2 linked regions of the Elephas maximus indicus genome follow. The protein of the gene in region 1 purifies or fractionates together with the protein of each later gene. This does not show direct contact. Links are inferred from orthologs where the notes say so. Each region holds a gene or a part of one and is shown on either strand. Other genes may lie near its edges.

Region 1 (7,338 bases):
TGCCTTAAGTAGATACTTATCGTTGGTGTTGCTGTTTGGGCTATCGTGATTAGCTCTTGAATAACAGCATCCAATTTCTCTTTAAGGAACTACCTCTCCCCGACAGTGTGCAGTCTTGCCAGTACTGTCAATCAGATCTTGCCCTCCCTCAGCTAAGACTCCACTTTCTCCTGGACTTTGAAAATTTAAGTATCCTAAGAGCAAAGAGTCCTTGGGTGGTACAAACAGTTAATATGCTAAGCTGCTAAGTGAAAGGCTGGTGTCCACCCAGAGGCACCTTGGAAGAAGGGCCAGAGATCTACGTCTGAAAAATCAGCCATTGAAAGTTCTGCGGAGCACAGTTCTACTCTGACACACATAGAGTTGCCATGGGTCAGAGCTGACTTGATGGCAACTGGTTAAGGTTACCAGTTACCATCGAGTCCGTTCCAAATCATGGCGGCCCCATGTAGATTTCCAGGCCTTTCTTCTGAGGTACCTCTAGGTGGGCTTGAACCTCCAAGCTTTCAACTTGGCCTTGTACTCAGGCCTTCTCATCAATCCATGAGTGACTTGGTTTTTATTTATTCTTCTAATAAATTCTTTTTTTTTTTTTAATTTATTTAATAAGCCATTGTTGGTTTCTAGTACTTGAGAGGAAAACAAGTAATACCTAATATACCACCTTCATGATCTCCTTGCATAAGAGTTCTCCCCATCCCAGACTCCTTTCCTACTCTACTTTCCACACTGGGAAGACATGTATAAGCACTATAGTCTTTAAATCAATGCTGTCAAAAAAGAAAAAAAAAGTGCAAGCCCCACATATAATTTTAAATTTTCTAGCAGCCTCATTAAAAATAAGTAAAAGAAACAGGTGAAATTCATTCTAATACTGTTTTATTTAAACCAATATATCTACTGCTATTCAACATATAATTGATATGAAAAAATATTAATGAGTTGACATTTTATTTTTCATTTTGTCTTTCAAATCTGGTATTTTACACTTTACACAAACAAAAACCCACTGTCTTCCAGTCAATTCCGACTCATAGTGACACTATACAGTACATCTCAGTTTGGACGCCAAATTTTCAAAGGTTAAAGTGAAAGAAAGTCCTTCCAAAACAATAAAGTTGTGTATAACAAAAAATATTTTATACTGTTTTTAAAAATATAAATTAACAAAAATTAAAAATTGAGTTCCTCAGTCCCATTTCAAGTGCTCAATATCCACACTTGGCTAGTGGCTACTGCACTGGGCAGCATAGGTTTAAATATGATCTGCTCCAAGGGTGAAGAGACTTGGGAAAACCTTTCCTTAATGGATTCGATAGATGGCAGGTATTGTTGGCTTTCACACTTCCAACAACTTCCATTATTAAAGGACTCAGAATTGTGTGAAGACCTATTAGAAATATTCTTTCCACCGAAACGATGTTTCCTCGGCTGTATAACTAATGCAGGTTAACACATTATTGAGTGTGAGACCTATCCTTTCTGTTCTACAATTCAGTAACAAAGAGAGATCAAGGAGTTATCTTCTCTGTCAGGGAATTTAAAGGCTATTACACTATTACTCTTAAGTCACTTCTTGTTTACTACATTTTGATGAGCGAAAAGAGACTTTGGGGCTTAGTTTTTAACATAAGCATTTTCACTGCCAAATAAAATGTATAAATTTGAATGGCAGGTTGAAGAGTTTGACCTCTATCCCCCAGGCAAAAATGAGCTATTATAAGTTCTGGAGCAGGTGAGTGATATGATAAAATCAATGTTTCAGAAAAATCAATCAGAATCCAATATGCAGGTAGACTGGTAACAACAGAGGTCCATAAGAGGGGTGTGGAGCTTCTGGCATCCTTCAAAGGTTCACACATGTTCTTCTGTTGGGAACACCATTTTCCTCTTTAGAAGCTGACAAGACATATGCTCATCCTTCAAGAACAAGTTCAGAGTCACCTTAGTTTCTTGGAGGCAGACTGCAGACTGAGTCACTTCTTCACTTCTGCTCCCATAGCACTTCTTTCAAAATCCTGAACAGAACCCACAAGGCCCTGCCTGATTCAACCTCAGCCTTTCTCTCTAGTCCCATGTCCTGTGGAGTTCCCTTTCTGTCTCTCCATCTCTCCACTCCAGACACTCTTCTCTATTCCATGGGCTGAATAAGTACCTCCTGGCCTCAGGGCAGGAGTCCCTGGGTGGCACAAACTATTAAGCAAGCTGTAGCCTGAAGGTTGGCCATTCAAATCCACAGAGGTGCCTCAGAAGACAGGCCCCGTGATCTGCTTCCAAAAGGTCACAGCCTTGAAAACCCTATGAGGCACAGTTCCACTCTGCAACATATAGGGTTGCCAACTCAAAGAAAGGCAACTGGTTGAATTCTGGTTTGTCCTCAGGGCCTTCTTATACACAATTATCTAGGATTGAAAGGTCTTTTCCCAGGCTAATTTCTCTCCTTTCAGATCTCAGCTTAAATACCACACCTTTAGGGGAGTCCTTCCCTTTCCCAGGCCAGAATGATTAGCTGCCCTTGCTATACCCTCACTGTACTCCAGACTTTTCTTATAAGGCTCTTATCACAACTGTAATCTACAGCTGTTGCTCCCACTAGATAAACTCCATGACAACAGGAACTGTCTTGTTCTCATTTCAGGGCCATTGCAGTTGCTAGTCGATCCTTTTAGAACACTCTATCTCCAACTCTTCATACATTAGGGTTTTTTTTTTTCCTCTCAACTGTCAAGCCTTAGCACTATCGTTTGACAAGGACCATCCCAGATCAGCTCATCTAAAGTAACCCTAAAAGTCACTCAATCATAGCACCCTATTCCATTGTACTCACCACTTATTTATGTCCAGAATGTCAGCTCCAGGAAAGACAGGTCATGTGCTTTTACTCACTATTGTACCTCACACATTAGCACGATGTCTGACACACAGTTATGAATGAATGTGGTTCGGTATCCACTTACCAAATCAGATTGCATTTATTTACTCCACTGAGGTAACCTGCAAGTCAGAGCCGTATTTTTATCAGCAACATTCAAAAAACTATTTAAATCTCAGCTCTAACACTTTATTAGCTGTGTGGCCTTGGGCAAGTCCCTTCACCTCTCTGGGTCTCAGGTTCCCTAACTATATCATGATGATAACAATATCTTCTTCAGAGTTCTTATTAGGATCCAATTAAAAAAAAAAAAAATTACACACGAGGTACCCAGCACAAGAGTATGGTATATAATGCACGTCGCTATGAGTCGGAATCGACTCGACGGCACTGGGTTTTTGTGGGTATTTGCTGAAATGCTATTAGGTTGGGTGATGTTTTCCAAAGTGTGGGACCTGCCAACAGTGTGAAAGATGCCTTTAGGTGGTACAAACAGCATAAATTAAGAGCATTATAACTGTTGTTAGGTGCCGAGTCGATTGTGACTCCTAGCTGCCCGATAGGGGTTCCTAGGCTGTACTCTTTACTGAAGCAGTTTGCCAGGCCTTTCTTCCACAGAGCAGCTGGGTGGGTTAGAATCTTAACACTTTGGTTAGCAAAGGTCAGCAGCCAAGAGCTTAACCTTTGCACTACTGGGCTCCTTCGCATTATAACTTTCCCTTTTCAACGTTCTTACAATTCTTTAGATGAAAACCAGGTCTTCTTGTGCTCCTGAGTCTAACATCTGTCATCTTCCCCATCTGTTGCTATCGCTCTTTAGCAAAGAGATCGTTTAGGGAGAACAACAGTTAATAAAGGAACCTAACATTGTTTTTCATCTTATTTGTTTGCATAGTGGTTAAGAGCCATTCTGGAGTCAGACTGCCTGGGTTTACACCCACCTCCCTCACTCAGTTACTTCAGACTACTTAATGAACCTCCTGACACCTCAGTTTACCCAACTGCAACAAGGGAATGATATCCACCTCACAGGGTTAGTTTAAACGTAAAATGAACTATTAGATGGAAAGTGGTCCAGAACACAGTAAGCCTAAGACCCCTGTTAAATAACAACGGTCCAGGACGTGGGGCAGGGAGGGGTCCCTGAGGCGGGCAGCCCTGAGACCCTGAGGAACGCACCCTTCACTCGCGTGTGGGGACCTCAGCTGCGGGCCAGGCTCTCTCTCGCGCTCGTCTGATTTCGTGCTCTTTGGGGTCTCCCCATGGCATTTAAGCTGCTCTCACCCTAGCGTCGGCGGGCAGCACGACGCTCCTTCAGCAGATGACCGTCCCACAAGGGACTGACGAAGACCCAGATTGCGCTGGAACTCGAGGGACGGGGCGGAGCCATGGGGGGGGGAACGCCGCGTTACGTAAGACGCCGCCACGCACGCAGCGCACGGAGCACGGCGCTGGGCTGGGGCAGCATGGCGGCCGAACACAAGACCAAGTTGTCCAAGAACCTGCTGCGCATGAAGGTGCGGGGACTTGGGGCGGGCTGGGGTAGGGGCACCTGGTCCTCCGGGCCTGGCCGGGGCCGAGGCGGTGTGCGTACGGGAGGTGCCGGCAAGGCCTTGGGGGACCCCCAGCTTTCGCGTTCATTCATTCACTTAGCACCAGCTCTGCGTTAGGCGCCGGGAATCAGATTGTGAATGAGGCCGACTCTTGAAACCCGCTGTCGGATACGGGAGACAGACGCTTAAACAAGGAGAATACAGCGTGCTAAGCGTAGGACGGTGGAAGTGTCCGAAGCCGGGGGAACTTACTTGGAATTCTCGCGGAAAGTGGCCCTTCAGTAGAGACTGAAGGGTAAGCAGAAGGTGGTGAGCATAGACCTGAGCTGAGGGAGAGGCGTGAAGGAGTGTTAGAAATCTGAGAGGCACGAAAAATAATCTTTTTCCTCCCTAGAAACCAAAGATAAATCAGTGATACAGCTGGAGGGAAAGTACCGAGCAGTGAGGCTGGGGGTGAAGGCAGCGTTAATAGCCATGGCACTTTAGTTGAGGTTAAGGATTTTTTTTTTTTTGCCTTAAGAGCAGTGGAAAGCTATTGAGCGCAGGGAACAGTATCATTGGCTGTGCTTTTTACTTTTAAAGGTTACTTTAACTGCCCTGTAGGGAATGCATTGGTGGAAGGAAGGCCTGACAGAAGACACAGTTGCAGTCTGGAAGACGAGTTAAAAGTTCTGATGGTCCAGGTGAGGGTTGATGGTTACCAGAATGAGTGCAGTGGTGGTGGGAATGGAAAGAATGTTAATAGTTGAGGTGAAAGTGAGTTATGTCACCCAGCTTTAAGCAAAATTGATTTTTAGAGTTGAGATTGAAGTCATCTTAACCCAAGAATTTCAAAATGGAAAAAATAACAAGGGTAGATAAAATGTGTACAGAAATCGAGATGGGCAAACAAAGAAGACTTAAAACATAAATAATAATAACGAGCATTTTTAGTCCTTACTATGTCCCAGGCAGTATCCTGAGTGCTTTTCGTATATTAACCCATTTAATCCTGACCATAACCCACTGAGGTGGTACAGTTGTCATTATTCCTCTTTTACAACTGAGGCAAATAAAACAGAGAAGTAAGTAACTTGTCTAAATTTGCATCGCTAGTAAGTAGTGTACACAGGACACAAACTCAGGCAGTCTGCCTCCAGAACCCGTTTAAATCACTATACTTCTTGTCACTGAACACTCATTATTGTTAGATGGGTACCTGGCTGTCTCAAATGGTTAAGTATTCAGCTACTAACTGGAAGGTTGGCAGTTCGAACCCACCCAGAGGCACTTGAGAAGACAAGCCTGGAGATCTGCTTTCAAAAGGTCACAGTCTTGAAAACCCTATGGAGCAGTTTCTACTCTGCACACATGGGGTCACCACGAGTTGGAATTGGCTCAGTGGGAACTAACAGCAACAAGATTTTGGAGAAGTTGAATGTGTTGAGAGCAGAAATTTGAAAACATTTTAGAAGTTGTTTTGGCTCTTAGAATAGGCCGGATGAATATGTACTAGGTGTTTAGGGCTCAGATCAGAGATATGACTGTGGAGTTAGGAAGGAAGAAATTAATTTTAAGAAAAAATTATCCACTCCCACCCAAATGGCTGGGATTGGAGACTTAATTGAACATTGAAAGCAAAGGAAAAGGGAGAAAGTTACCCAGGTTTTTCAATTTGGGTTAGCAATTTTGATTGTTGACAAGAAGGAACTTACCCACGGGATTGCAAGAGAAACTTTACGTAGAGTGTCCTGTGAAAATAAGTGGAGCAGCTACAGACTCAGGATCCAAAGTTCAGCCAAAGCTAAGTATGGAGCATAGATGAGAGGATTGAAGAGTTAATCCTGACTCATTTGTTGTTAGATGTACTTGAACTCCTCTGATTTGGTCAGCATTTGGGGACTGGAGGTGTAAAAGTGGAGTGGGGCGTCATACCTCCTCATCTAACTTCACAAGGGGGGAGGAGAGTCATCAGCATTAATAGCCCAAGGCTGATTGCTATGAGCTGGAGGTCAGATATACCACCCTTCAACCTTTTTACCAATTCTGACACCAGCCATCCCTCCCGCAATACTCTGTGCTTTTTTGCTGGGTTTGATAATTCATTGCAATGGCCACACACAGCTCACAGACCATATTCACAGTTATGGGGTTCATTAGGGAAGTAACAGGTTACAAATCAGGATCAGGAACAACTCAGGATACAGTTCTTTGGTCAGGACAGCTTTTCAGCTGTGCCCACAGGACGGCCTCTCCCTCAGCCCCTGGGCCTCTCCTCTGCCCTTCTCCAACAAGCTCTGCTGATAGGTTCCCAGAGGCACCCCACTCCGCCAGAAAATCTTCTGCCTGAAGGCATTCATCTCTCACTCCATAGGTTGGTGAACCTAGCTTCTCTGACCCCACTCCGCCAGGTAACCTCCTGCCAGAAGGCACTCAGCCTTCTCACTCCATGGGTCAGGACACCCACTGTAGCTGCCTTATTCTGTGGGCTTCAGCCGACCGCTCCGTCTCCTGGGTCTTCTGCCGCCATTTCTCTGCAACAGCTTCTCACCATGTCACGCTGTCTCTGGTGGAACAGCTCTCTTTCTCTCTCTCTTGCTTTCTCTCTCCTGGGTATAGGACAGTATCAGTGCAGAGACCCCAGGTCCAAAGGACATGCTCCCAGCTCTTCTTCTTGGTGTTAGTGATATTCCCTCTCTGTTCTGGGATTGGCTCTCTTATAAGCCTAGCGTGATTCCAAAACTGACCAATCCCTTTGTTACATCTTATTTGTATGGTCCTGAGAGCTCAGCTGCTAACCTAAAGGTTGGCAGCTCAAATCTACCAGCCACTTGTTGGAAACCCTATGGGGTAGTTTTACTCTGTCCTGTAGGGTCACTATGAGTTGGAACCAACTCAACAGCGCCTAACAACAACTCCCACAATGGTGCCATG
Region 2 (6,822 bases), about 7.9 Mb from region 1:
TTCCAGGATGGTTCCCTTCCCTGCCTGTGTGTTTTGTGAAGGCCTTCCGGTGGCACCTGTTCTGGAGCTAGGGCAACAGAAGTGGAGGCACAGCTTGCCCAAACCAGCGTCCCAATAATGGTGGATGTCCTGTGTCCAGGTAGTCCTGGGACTAGCAGGGCTGGAGGGGGAGGTGGCCTGGACTCCCAGCACCAGTCCCCATCCTCAAGAAGCCAAGGCCAACTCGAAAGGGACAGAGGGACAGGGTCCCCTGAGAGCCCAGGGAGCATCATCAGCCCCCTCTGAATACAGATACGGCTTCAGCTGCTCTTTTCCCCTCCTGCTGCCCAGCAGCCGGCCCAGGCCACCTTCTCCAGCCACAGTGGAGCACAGGAAACAGAACTGTGTTCCTACAGGCCCCCTCCCAGTCTGAAGCAACTGTATATCCTGGGGAGTTCCTCACATAACCCCTTTGGTTCCAGACTCCCCATCCCCTCTACATAGCCATCCTTCAGAATCAAGTGTATTTTTATGTCCTGTTTCTCGCTGGTGTGATACTATGTATTTCAGATCTGCTCTGGAAAAATGTATTATGTCAGAAGGGGAAAAATAAAATATTTTTTCTGGTCAGGAGTTCCTGATGTGGTCCCAGTGCCTCATTCTGGGTCTTGGGCTCCCCCAGGGCCAGCCCTTCCTAGATAAGCAGAGCAGGCCCTTGAGACACAAGTTTGGAGGCTCACAGCAAGCCAGGTGCAGAAAGAGGACCAGGCTGCTGTGGTTCTGAAGGGCTGTCTCACCAGGCTTCCTCCAATCCAGAACTGAGCATGAACCCACAGGGCTCAGGTGCCACACAGGGCAGAAGACCGTACCTTCACAGTCAGCCAGCGGAACAACCAAGCACTGTCCTGTTTCCCAGGATCCAGAGGCTTATTCCTGGCAGTTCACCTGCTCTCTCCCAAGCCTAGACAACAGGCAGCAGATCATGAAGCTAGCTCGGGGCCCATTAGCAGGAGAGGCTGTGGAAGGAGGGCTCTGGCCTCCACCCTTTCCAGCTACCTCACCCTGAGCTGTCGCTATGCCCAGTTCACAAAAATCAATCAGGGAATAGGGGGTGCACCTAGAATGCTTCTGGGACCACACAGCTCCCCTGACTCCTGTTTCATCTCAGCAGCTGCCCTGACTCTGGTACTTGAGGGTGGGGAGACAGCTTCCCCTCCTCAAAAGCAGATTTTTTCACATCAACTCCTTCACATATTTCACCCTGTCTCTTCTCATGTTGGTCTAACAAAGGACACATCTAAGGCAGTGATCCCCAGAGCCCTTGGCACCAGGGGTCCAAGACACTACCCACCTCAGAAGATCCTTGCTCTTTTAAATCCTATACCAAGAAGAGCCACAACAGAAAACGTTGCTCAGATATAAAAAGTTTTTGTTTTTAGTTCATATGTCCATCCTTTCAAAAGCAGCCCAATTATAGAGAGTCCATCCTTACAAGATAACAGCTCTAGGTCTCGTTTTACAGATCAATCCAGCTCAAGTCCTTTCCAATTTGGAGTCAGGCTGAATTCACAGGTTTCTTCAACTGGGCTGGACCTGGGAGCCAGCTCAAGCAGAAAAGTTTCTCTTCTGGACAGGTTTTTTGAAACAGCTGTCTAGGGCATCAGTTCTGTGTGGCGAGGAGGCGGCTGTTGCCAAACTGTGCCCCACTCCCCTTCTCTCTGATCATCTCCATTTCCCAGCTGGGCGCAATGTGGAGACCGGAGGCAAGGGTCCTTTCCGGGATGGCGGCGGTCTTCGGAGTCGTCTTTGCTCAGCCTTCTGGCTCAGGACAAGGTGGCTGCGTCCCTCCGGCGGGCGGCCCGCACCAGGCACTGCTGCAGCACGGGGTAGAGGCGCTGGCAGCCCTCGAGGCCCAGGCGCACAGCCTCGGCCCAGCTCTCAGTTGGACAGCCCTCCCCGCTGCCCAGCAGCCCGGCCACCTGGTTGAGCACCGGCATGAGAGCCACAGTGAGGCCGGCGGCGGCACGCTCCTCCTCGAGCCGCGTGGGGTCCAGGAGCCAGGCGGGCGCGGGGCCCGGAGCGCGGCTCAGGGCACAACCCACCACCAGGTCGTACATCTCGACGCCGGCGTCGGCCAGCGCGAGCGCGGCGGCCGTGAGCGCGGCAGCCAGCGCCGAGCCACCGTCCTCGAGCAGCAGCGCCGACACCTCGAGCTGCGCGCGCGGGTAGCGGCCCAGGCGCACGGCTGGCTCAAGCGCCTCTTGCAGCGCCAGCGCCAGTTCGCGCTCCTCGCCGCCCCCGGGAGGTGCGCGGCGCCGGCGGCCCGCGAAGGGCGCGCGGCGGAAGTCGCAGAGCAGGCGCCCGCGCAGTGCGGCCGGGGCTTCGCCGCCCGCCCCGGCTGGACCGCCGCCGCGCTCGCTACTCTCGGCCTGACGGGGGCCCGACACGGAGCACAGCACCTTGGTGCCGCCCGCCTCCAGGTAGGCCGAGCCCTTAGCCTGGCTCAGCAGCCCCGCGCGCGCGTACACGGGCCGCAAACGCGTCGGATCGCGGGCAGCAGGCGCCTCGTCCTCGTCGGCCGCGTACAGCTGCGGTGGCTGCGACTCCTCGGGCCCGCGGATGCGGCGGTGGTCCCCCGGCATGGCTGCACCAGACGAGCGAGTCGCTTCCGCCCGTCGATTCTGCTCACGCGGGGACGCTTCCGCCCGCTTAAGATGCGCGCCCGCGCGGGGTCTGTCGGGATAGCGGTGGGGCTGCACCGCCCCCTGCCGCCCCGGAGGGAGAACTGCGGGCCCTACAGAGCCCTGGTCCGCAGCAAGCGGGACGTGGGCCGGCTGGGATGACCCCAACCTGCCAAGCCAGGGCAAACCCAGATCGTATTTTCCTTTCACTTGTGACAAAAAAACAAAACAACCAAACCCGTTGCAGCTATTTTCCTAACTTTTTCATGCCTGTGTTCCCTACTGCTTTCGGAGGGCAGGGGCCTTTTTTCTGTTGACTCGTGTACACTCCATGCCCGGCTGGTGTAAACACTCTGTAGAATGAATGAATGGTATTACGTGTCCCCTCATCCCTGGACTGTGTAATTGTCTTTGTATCCCTAACTCTTCACCTGGCTGTGCTGGTTATATCCAGGGCCTCAGCACCCTCCCTCTGGCTGCTTCTCTCACCCAAGCAAGGACAGCCCCTCAGCCCCAGGCCTGACAGCCTGACAGCTGGCCTCTGCTGCTTCTCCTAGCATAGACCTGCTTTCCCTACTTCCTCCCCTCTGCCAGCACGGGCCACAGAGCCAGCATGCTGTACCCAAGGGCATCGAATCAGTCACAGCTGCCGCAGCAAGCAGTACCTTTTACCTCCCCTCACACTACTGTCAAACCTAGCTGTCTTCAATTGGGTGAACTGGGCTCAGGGCCAGGGTAGGGTATTCTAACCATCTTTAGGTCAAGGAAGTAGGAATGGCGGGGCAGCCACTGGAGGAGGAGGCAATGGCTGCACCCTAAATACCTCCTATACTGGAGCATGCCTCTAACCTCACACTTCATCTCACACTCCCAACAGCTGCCTCTCCATCTCACCCACCTATTCTGCCTGCCTCCACCTCCATAGATCTCTTGAGGCAATCCCAGGAGCCATTCGCACAATTCAGGGGGCCTGGGGTTGGACTTGAGGAGGACTGGTCCTTTCAGCCAGAAGCCAGCTGCAGCCACTGCATTTATGCTGCAGACACCCAGGGAGCCACGGGCTGTGAATCATGGGACACCTGGGTGGGAAGCGGGGGATCGATCACAAGGTATCATCAAGTATTGCACATGGTCCTTTTATTCTTTGCAGCAAAAGTAATTCCTACCTGCACACCCAAAAGCCTCAGGTCTGTGGAGGAATATACCTCAGAAGTATAGACAGGTGCAGGACAATGATAAATAGCAATTCTGGGGTAATGGTTCTGGACGGATGGCACTGACTATAGGGCTTGGGGTGGAAATGTAAAGTGGGCACGGAGCCACAGGGAAGGACAGTGCCCTGACTATGTTCCAATGATTGCTGGGCTACGAGGACAGATGGGGCTGCTTAAAGGTCCAGGATTTGAATGTCCCTGTGGCGGATGAAGAGCTCCCATCTGGACTGATGCATCCTGGTGAGGGGCAGTCACTTCCTGGTAAGGAGCAGATGCTTCCCAGTGGAAGCCACCCTTCCCCTCAGTTCTTCACATCTCCCAGGTGAAGCTGGGCAAAGGATGTGGCCAGCTGCAGTGCCTCCTGCAGGCAGCCCACATTCTTGCCCGTGGCCTGGGCAGACACATCTTTGCCACCACCTTTGCCATCCATCAGGCCTGACACCTGCTGCACCCACTCACTGGCTTTCAGGCCCCGGTTGGCAGCATTCTGGAAGACAGGAAGGAAAAGTGGGAGTAAGACAGGATGGGATTGAGGGGGGAATGAAAAGGGGCGGGAAGGAGAAACGACGAGGGACCATTCCTGTCCTGTGTGAGGACACGGGCTGCTGCCAGAGGCAGAGACAGATTCTAGAGCAAGTGCACGGGGGCAGTCGATGGTCCCTGCCAGGATAAGGGCACCTCAAAGTCAAAGCTAAGTATTGGCCAGTACAATGAAACTTATTATTTTTTACCAAAGAGAAGGCCTGAGGGTAAGGGGTACTGGCAAAAGTGACCAAAGAGGAGGGTAGGAGAACAGCTGTTCCTAATGGACACTGCACAAACTTCCGTGGGCCTTGGCATCCAACTGTGAGAACTGACTTCCCTCTACAAAGCTGGAGACAACACTTCCCACAGTGACAGCAGCTTGTGGGGTCTGGAGCAAGCACAGGGGGTTCCTACCTGAGGCACCTGACACAGGCATGTGATCTTGCCAGCCTCATTGTCCACAGTGAAGAGCATGGCGGCCGTCTGAGGGGAATGTGTCTTGAAAAGTTTCAAAGCTTCATTCAGGGCCTGTGGGGAAAATCTGGTGTCAGATCATGGCACTGGGGTCTAGGCAACTTTCCTCACATGTGACAGGTTTGCGGTCTCAGGCCTCGGAGCACCGCCCCCACCCACGTTCCAAGAGTAGGCGTGGCCCCGGGAAGCTGTAGGAGGAGCCTGGTACAGGGCCTGGCCTCCATGGCCTCTAGTCCTGAGGTTTGCCTTCCGGGAAGCTGCTCCTTTTTTCTGCTGGGAGCCACAGCTCAGCCACCAGCTCTCATAGCTCAGGCTAACCTTCATTGAGACAGTGGGCTCTCAAAGCCACACCTCCCATACTTCAGCCACCAGAGGGCTGAGGCCAGAGAAGGGAACAAGCAATGGGACAGACACAGAGCTGCACTAGACCCTGGGCCCCTGGTTGCCTTGGCTGAGGCACCGCTCTCCATCTCCAGGATAACGAGGGGCTGGTTGGGGTGGCTGTCGATGAGCTGCTTGGTCTTCTCCAACACCTGAAAGGAAGAAGTCCAGGAAAACTTCAGATCAAAGACCCAGCCTCCCAAACCCAGAAAGCAGCTCTCCCAGCCTTTGCTGAGTAAATCCTCTCTGCTCCCTTCTGGCCACCAGCACTGCCAGGACTCACTCGCTTCTGGACATCGGCTTTGCTAGCACGGTCAAGGTCATCCATTATCTTCTTCAGGGATTTAAGGTGCTCTCGAAGTTCATCCTTCTGCCACTGAGGGATGACAGCAGTGGCTAGGGCCTGGAACCACAACAGGAAGACCATGTGGATGCAGACTGGGAGCTAGGAAGTGAGGCCTCAGCCCCACCCTATCACATCTGTTTTGAATACAAAGTCCTCCCCGTTGAGTGTCCATGAAGCAGAGAGAAGGAAGAAAACACAACAAAAAACAAGTGCCTACTGGCCTCAAGAACAGTCAGTATGTGAGCAACCATAGCAGTTGTAACAAGTAGGGCTGGAGAGAGAGGAACAGTATGGAGACTAGGATCCCTGTGAGACCTGGCCTTCACCAGGCCATGAACACAGAGCCTGTGACAGGCTCGGGGGAGCCACCAGATATTAATATAAAACACCAGGCAGGCTTGGATACAGAGGCCTTCCCCAACTCCCTTGACACAATGCTTGGAATGAGCTCTCCTGCCATCAGCAATGGAAGCAGCAGGCAGGAACCAGGGGTCCACAGGCCAGGATCCATGGAGACATCAGCAGACGTCAGCCTGAGGCCCCATTCCACTGAGAACCACGACCTGGCTAGTTCCAGTGAGTTCTTCAAGAATAGGCATAGTGAGGGGAGAAGCTGGCTGAATGGAAATGAAAATAAGAGAGTGGAGGGAAGGAATATGCTGTCTCATTAGAGAGAGAGCAACTAGGAGTATATCGTAAGGTATATATATAAGTTTTCGTATGAGAGAGTGACTTGGTTTATAAACTTTCACTTAAAGCACAATAAAAAAAAAAAAAAAAAAAAGACTAGGGATAATGTTTTATTCATCAGGCACAGGACCCAGCACTGAGCAGTGTCCTGTACCTGATGAATAAATCAGGCCCTGGGAGGAAGGGATGGAGGCTGTCTGTACCTCACCAAGGTCAGCTATTTCCCGCTGCACATCCTTGTTTGGCGCGGTCTGGGCCTTCACTTTGGCCTCCATGACAGACAGAGATTTCTTCAAGCTCTCTGCTTTCCTGAGGGCCTGGGAGAGAGAAATCAGAATTTCAAAATCTGGGGCAGGTAACTTTCTGCTTCACCATTTGATCGGTAAACAACTGTGGCAAGCCCCGATGGTAGGCTATGAAGCAACACACCCCAGGACACCAGAAGTTTCTCTTCCTTCAGGGAGCAAGTGCCTGCAGCCTGATGCCCCAGAAAGAAGCACCTTCCTCACATACCTGGCCAGCAGGAAAGCTG

The links.
Region 2: the proteins of MPHOSPH6 (region 1) and EXOSC6 purify together in Homo sapiens (affinity purification with mass spectrometry; 3 studies listed by BioGRID and IntAct, with this or other methods). This does not show direct contact. The link is inferred for Elephas maximus indicus from reciprocal best matches to the Homo sapiens genes MPHOSPH6 and EXOSC6.

The regions. Positions count from the first base shown.
Region 1 is NC_064839.1:48,078,828-48,086,165, reverse strand, and holds the start of MPHOSPH6 (M-phase phosphoprotein 6), read left to right. Parts: upstream 1-4,315; 5' UTR 4,316-4,338; coding exon 4,339-4,389; intron 4,390-4,473; exon of another isoform or gene 4,474-4,720; intron 4,721-5,028; exon of another isoform or gene 5,029-5,099; coding exon of another isoform or gene 5,100-5,108; intron 5,109-7,338. UniProt on the Homo sapiens protein: RNA-binding protein that associates with the RNA exosome complex. Involved in the 3'-processing of the 7S pre-RNA to the mature 5.8S rRNA and play a role in recruiting the RNA exosome complex to pre-rRNA; this function may include C1D.
Region 2 is NC_064839.1:40,209,211-40,216,032, reverse strand, and holds EXOSC6 (exosome complex component MTR3), read right to left. Parts: upstream 2,651-6,822; 5' UTR 2,622-2,650; coding exon 1,803-2,621; 3' UTR 599-1,802; downstream 1-598. Other genes in the region: AARS1 (alanine--tRNA ligase, cytoplasmic), read right to left, coding at 4,176-4,361, 4,814-4,927, 5,320-5,406, 5,538-5,657, 6,494-6,607. UniProt on the Homo sapiens protein: Non-catalytic component of the RNA exosome complex which has 3'->5' exoribonuclease activity and participates in a multitude of cellular RNA processing and degradation events.